Drosophila melanogaster: one gene and its partner. The protein of the gene in region 2 interacts with the protein of the main gene of each other region in a pairwise test. Each region holds a gene or a part of one and is shown on either strand. Other genes may lie near its edges.

Evidence for each region. The genes of interacting proteins can lie anywhere in the genome.
Region 1: the proteins of CG34170 (region 2) and CG42853 interact in a two-hybrid assay, tested with the Drosophila melanogaster proteins (one large-scale study listed by BioGRID).

The regions. Positions count from the first base shown.
Region 1 is NT_037436.4:18,119,763-18,123,787, forward strand, and holds CG42853 (uncharacterized protein), read right to left. Parts: upstream 2,228-4,025; 5' UTR 2,166-2,227; coding exon 1,673-2,165; intron 1,616-1,672; coding exon 1,254-1,615; 3' UTR 1,170-1,253; downstream 1-1,169. Other genes in the region: CG7341 (uncharacterized protein), read left to right, coding at 55-1,128.
Region 2 is NT_033779.5:17,310,692-17,314,026, forward strand, and holds CG34170 (uncharacterized protein), read right to left. Parts: upstream 1,130-3,335; 5' UTR 1,069-1,129; coding exon 880-1,068; 3' UTR 777-879; downstream 1-776.

The sequences.
Region 1 (4,025 bases), on a different chromosome or scaffold from region 2:
CTAATTTAGTAAAATACTTTACTTGCAGTGTATTTTTGAATTGCCTTCAGCAAAATGCGACCCAAGGATCACCCTGATCTGCACTTCGACGTGATTCCCAAGCTCTACGATGCCCATTCCAAGGTGTTTCTAACCAGCTTGTGCGATGTGGATGAGCAGCTGAAACTATTGCCACGCCGATTCTGTCGGATGTACACCACTCGGCCACTGGCCACCCAGCTGTTTCAGTATCTGCAATCCCGCAAAGCGAACGTTTCGGAACAGGACTTCCTTGTGGTGGAGGAGGGCCAGCCCTTCGCACTGCTTCTGAAAGACGGAAAACGGTTGGAAGGGATGCTATGCTCTGGAAGTCATCTGGGACACAGCCTCATTCTGCTTATCCGGCGGCAGCAGGGTAACAGATTGCTGTACTGCTACTCGGCTATGAGGCTGGATAATCTTGGTCGTCTACTGGGCAACTCTGTCTTCAACTCTTGGATCGCCCAGGGAACCGAGCAGCTGTATCTGAATCTGTCCTCTGTAAATTTGCCGTTTGATCATATTGATTTTGATGAGATGGCACATTTCATCGAGGATCTCGGAGCAAGAAATGACCAGAGTATGGTGCACCTGAAAGTGCCAAAATTTGGCTACGAGGAAATGTTATGGAGATTGGCACACACAAGTCTTCGCGGGCATATTCATTTGGGCGACCACATTGCAAAAAGCTATGAGTGCCTTAGCATCGATCTGGAGCGTTTTCTGGAGGAAAATTATGTACCAAGGGTTTTCGTCAGCGGTTGCCCGACGGACTTTAATCACTATCAAAAGGTAGTTTCCTTGGATCTAAAGGAACTAAAGTGGACACCGACTCCGACCAGGATGCATCTTCGGCAGCTATGCAGCCTCTTGCGACCTCAACACATCCAGGGGATTGTTCAGTTTCATACGGATGGCATTGTGCCTCCCATTCCGTCATTCCTAAAGATCTTCAAGGCAAACTATTCACCGCAGAGTGGTGCAGTGGTCTCAAGGATTAGGAGTGAATTTCAAGCAGGACAGCCGAAGCAAGGACCCTATCACGCTTTCCGGTCCAGAAGGGCCTTTGAATTTGTGAACGATGGCGACGAAAGCAGTAGTTCGAATTAGGTTAAAGTATCTCCCTATTAGAATAAGCAAGTCGTGTAGCTGTTGTTCCGCACAGTGCCCCTAGGAGTTTTATTTATCCAAACGCTTCACAATATATAAAAATAAATTATTTGAATTGTCTTGAATTAATTTTTTTGATCAGTAAGTGTATCTTCGTCGGACCAGGAATCGGCAAGTCGCTCAAAAGCATCAATGTCTATTTCCTCCTTTACTTTAAAGGCTTTAAGATCATCAGCCGCATTCTGGGATTCCTTGGTAATATCACAGCCGAGTGAGAGATCCATCCCTTCTGGTTGCTTTTCAATTAGCTTTATGGTGTCCTCGTTGCACTCTTTTAAGGATTCCATGTCCAATGCATTCTGGGTTTCGGTCGAAGCGTTTACTTTGGTAATTTGATATTGTTTATTAAATTTAGGAAGTTGTACAATATTTGATGAACGTCTATTCATCTCACACATTTTGGGAATTGTGAAGAGTAGAAACAGCCCTGATATTTGAATGAATTTTGTTATTTTCTTTCATTATTTATTAATGATAGACTTACCTAATTGGCCAACAATTAGAAAGTTAATCTGCTTTCCAAGTTTGCTAATTATTAGGAGAAGGCCAAACCACTTGAATGATTTCGAAAAGCTCTTTACTAGTAATATCTCTCGTAGATTATTTAGAAACGCAACAACTTTGGTTGAAACTAGAACACCCAGTTGCTTAGATAACTCCTGGGAGATTCTTAGGTCTATGTCAAGATATTTCGGATAGCTGTTGTTCTGGATATGGGTATTAGTGTACTGTACCAAAAAACGGTACCCCATTGATATGACCATGATAATCAAAGCCCATACGCTCACCACGAACACAAGCGGTTCAGAAAGCAGATCATAAATTATGGTCTGTAGCATTACGAATACAAGCATCGACTTTATCCAGTTGCGCCACAGGATCAGCTCAGTTATTCCCTCCCAGATGCAGATGAGTTTAGCTTCGTTTACCTCCGCACCGGCTCCAGAAACTTGAACAGAGTTCGCGCTTGTGGCCATATTTTTTTTTTTTTTGAGTTTTTAAGACCTTTAGTACTGAGAAGATATACAAATTACAAAAACTTGGATACGATTGCAACGACAGTAAACTATTCGAATACTAGATTATATTTGTTTTCTATACCCATCACGCGTAGAGTACTAGATTTGTTGAAAGGTTTACCTTTCAGATGGATTCTTTATATTCTTGATCAGGATTGATGGGCTAGTCTATATGTATGTACAATATATACTTATGGCTGTGTCAGTCTGTCCGTCCGTATAAACGTCGAGAGTCTGTGAACTATTAAAGCTGAAAAGTTTAAATTAAGCATGCAGCTTGTTTCACATCCACACATTATTAAATTATAATGTGGAAATTATTGAAATTACCACCACTAACTGAGTAGCTGCCAGTTGAGGAGCTCGTATATAAATATATATATTTATATACATCTATATGCTATATAATACGAGATGCATGTCAAGTACCACCGATACAAGAAAGATCCCAACATTTAACCGCCAAAAGCACCTGTTGCCAATTCGTGTCATCTGTTTAAAAATATCCTTTTACATGAATTATGCAAATTATTCATAAATTGCTTTGTCTTTGCTTGGGGTTGTAAATGGGTTTTCGCAGATACATAATTTGATTGAGTTTGAGCTATCCTTTCTATCGCAAGATATTTAACTTCATATTCTATTTCTGTAATCGGTGATAATAAATTCATTTTAGCTTCTGCTTTTGTACCTATTTCTCTAACCATAGGCAATTTATGTTTTTGAAAATTAAGAATTACTGGTCGTATATTTTCTACTTGATCCCTTACTTGAACGATTGTTAAGTCAAACAGAACGCTTTTCAAGATCTCTTTGTCACAGCTTCGTTCGCGTTTGATCCGCACCGTCAACAAGGTCTTTTATTCCAATTCTTGGAGCATCCTGGGCAAATAATTTTGGCACGAGGTGTGACCAACGCCCATTGAGGGTGTGGTTAATGACACTCAGCCTTCTGTCTGCCAAGTCAATCGCTTGCCAATTGATTTGTCAAAGGCATTACGCTAATATTTTGGGCAAATACGGGAAAAAGTCACTGGCGTCAAAATGACATCGAGTGGTTTAACTTTCCACCCTCAAGATTCAGAAAATAAATGACTTTTGGGGAGGGTAGAGAAAAGAATACTAAAATCGGAATAATTTAAATCAATCGTTCAAAAGCTTTTGATCGCTCGCAATTGCTAAAGGGTCCACTTAATAACAGTAGTATATGTTATATATAAAAAACTTTAAAAGAAAATAGTAGATTCAACAAAATATGATGAATATAAAATGAAAACCTTTCAGTTTGTCGTAAAACAAATATTTCCAATATATTAATCCTGTTTAACAGTCCAACTATTCCCATTTGTAATAGACATTTGTTCATCACCCATTTGAGATTACTTGAGAAATCCTCGTAATTTCTGCCGTCTTCATTTAGAATTACTGGAATTAATATGCAAACAGCAAAATCGATGTATTTGCACATGTATGAATGCAGTTTAATTAAACCAAATTCCCCCATAATGCTCACATCACAAGCTGTACAGGATATTAGAATGTTTGACAAGTTGTCAATGCATCAAGATGCAGAGGACAAGGCAGAAAATTGGCCAGAAAATCTTATCGTTCATTTTGAATGTAAATTAAAACAAATACACATAAAATTACTTAAAACTGCATTGAGTTTCTTTGGCTCCTGTCACAAAATGATGGCCATTTCCATGCAAATGCCTAAAATGTAAAAGGTCGCTAGGGCACGGCACTTTATTTACTTTATATACTTTATTTTTAGATTTTTTAAATATATAAATATTATAGCCAACATATTTATCACAC
Region 2 (3,335 bases):
CACGTTGGCAAAGGGAGGACCATAAAAGTTAAGTAAATATATAAACACGATTCGGTTTACGCCTGCCTGCCCGTCAGCCTCTTTATTATTGTTGGTTGTTGAATGTTGTTGCTGGTGATGTTATTGATATACGTGAACATATATATATATATATATATATATCAATATATCAATACATATCTGTGCCGCACACACGTAAATCAAAATGTTTGTAAGTTGAGTAAACAACATTGGAAATCAGTTATGTTGTACTGCATTATAAACTACCCAATAAATGACCCCCGTGACTTTTAACGCCAGTGCACTTTGTCTGTAGATTCGAAAAACGTGAATTTCCATTTTCTTTTTTATGCGCTGAACTTTTTTTGTAATTTTTACGATAAATTGCGCGTGAATGATGCATAAATCAAACGAAGTTGAGGCATTTTATATACGAGAGTGTATATGAGCTCTGTCAAATGTATCGACCGAGTAAAAATTTACATAGCATCCGTTTTGGGTCCATCAAGCAGTGATAAATATGTAGGTGCATGGTAATAAGAGCCGGCAGAAAAATATGCACATGCATTTTTAACAACGATTTAAGGATGAATTTCATGAAAATCGAGCTTGATGAATAAAAATATCAATTTGGATTGACGGAATTACGGGATTTCATTTGAGAGACAACTCAAAGAGCTTTGTATGTGAAGGAGAGCTCATAAAGAATATATAACACGCTAATGAATGCATTACACAACTTTTTTTTTGGATCCAACTTTAATCTTTAATGGAATAAAAGGGTTTTTTTTAACAAAATCAAAAGATTTATGTGTACTTTTTTTTAAATTACTTTTTATTTATGACACATTTATGTAGAATTGTCCACATTTAGGGGGATTATGACGTCGGATCTATTCGCTCCCGATTTATATGAAAGTAGGCGAGAAAAATTATGAAGACGGCCAATCCGACGAGTCCGCACCAGAAGCCAAAGGATCCGCAATTGAATCCATCCCGGTATACCTCGCAAATGTCCCCGCCAACAATCAGATTCAGCTTATCCTTAACGCCAGGTGATCCAGCCATGGAATATTTTTCCGGCTCCCCAAATTTAAGCCACAAATTTTGAAGTTTTTCTAAAGGCCGAGAGTAATGTGTGGGCCACAGGCTCCTGGGATTAGGATTCGTGTACGCCGTGCCTCATCGGAAAAGTACGCTAACAATGATGAATCATCATGGAGGGCAACAGGATATGCCTGCAACGTAATTGAATTTAGTGCTAATGATGGCATTGACGATAGCACATAATATTCGGCATTAATTCAAGCAGACATTAATTGATTGATTATTTGATTGCATTATTGTCAATATCACAATTGCAATTTGGTCGCTCCGCTTCAACGGGTCGTCCTGTGTATCTGTATCCTGGGTGTCCGTCGAGCGCGACACATTCGCGAAATTGAATGTTTGTCATCAGGCCAACAACATTGATAATAATAATTTAGCACAATTTACACGATGACAGCCATAATTAATCGATGCAATCGTGCCTTCAAATAGCAGTTGAAACGGGGCTTATTATGGGCACTGGAAATAAAAACGAACTGGTGTATATACTTAAATTGTTTGCATAAAAAACAACAAAAATTTACATTTAACGTAATATTTCGGGAAATTATAAAAGAGCTTCTCAAAATAATTATTTTAGTTACCATTGTATTCGCAGGACACCGCAAATTGTTTGTAATAAAGATTTCACCTGAAGTCCATTCATTTTCATGTTAATTCACTGGCCTTCCTGTAGCAGGTGAATATTTGACTTAAGAGCCGGATAAAACTTGCGTTTTGCTAAAGAAAAGACGAGGGAAATATTTAATTTACATTTAACTTTCTGCCGCCCCTTTCCACTCAGCAATTATGTGGCCCGAGGAGATTCTAAGCGAAATTTTGTGCGCCCTGCAATTATACAAAAATTCTTCTTGGTCTCGTTTCTTTCTCGTATTGCATTATTCATGGGCAGGGGCTAAGCAAATTAAAAGCCAGCTTCCCAGCCCAGCTGGCCAAATAATTGTTTGAAGTTCGCTCTTGGCCTGGCCTGTAATCTGCCGCAGTTTTGGCCACTAATTTCGCCCTGAGACAAAACCGCCTACCGAAAAGAGTACTCCGCAAGCACTAAGCTCAATTGAAATTGCTTCTGGGATAGGGAGGCAAGAAGGAAGACTGCTCGAAATGCCGTAGAGTAATTGAAATATTGGCAGCGAGCTCAACTCGTAAATTATGCACTCGAATCCAAGCATAAAAAAAAAAAAAAAACGAGGGAATACTCACAACAGTTCGCTGTGTAAACTAAAGATAGGGAAAGAGCCAACTTTCCTGAGATTCCCTTTAATTTATAATTTATCAGTTTTGTGCTTTTGAAGCTGTTTTTGGCTGCCCAACAAGAAAACTTTGATTGCGGTAATTAGCAAATTGTGCAACTCTCTCAAGGTCCACTCCCCCTTTTACCTCTTCTACCTGGAAGGCAACAAAATGGTGGTACAAAGTTTGAGTGAAAATGTATATGTTAAACTGCATTACAACATTTAATTAAATATTTAACTAAAAGGGGCAAGTTGTTGGAAATTTTGTATGCGTAAAAGTGTGCTACGAATTACAACAATTACATTTACAAAACCTTTGTAATTGACTTTTTATCAATGCTTTACATATCCCATATATTATAAGCAAACTAGCTTCTTAAACTACCTTTTTATTTTCAGTTGTGTAGTGGGAGTTCAACTAAAGTTGTGTGAAAAGGGTAAGCCGGGTAAACCAATTTGCTCAGGGTCCCTAACATATCTGCCAGAATATATGTATATCGCACAATGAAATTGCCTATGTGGCAATATAGTTTCCTGCCATATATGTATGTAGCTACTGCAGCAGGGAACATCAATTTTGTTTCCCTCCGCCCGGCTTTTATTATTGTTACTTCGAGGCTGCCACAATCCGATGCCCAACCCCTGCTGCGTTTTTGCCAGGTAAAAACCTAAGCTAAGCAAACATACAAAAAAGTGTTAGTATGCTCAACGCGACTTTCGCCACCACATAACCACATACCCCACCCAGTCCCATCGTTCTGGCCATCACAAAATGTCCTTTTAGCAAAGGACATATACACACATGCGTATGTAAAAATTTTCGACGTGATGTAAATTTCTATTGAATGCTGAATGGGCAGAAAAAATAGCTTTAATGGTCTTTTGGCCAGCCAAAGCGAATAGGAGATCCGGCATATAGGATCCCGGACAAAAGACCAGGAACCGAGGGCCATCAGAATGGTCGACATTTGAATGAATTGTCGTTGAAATCGG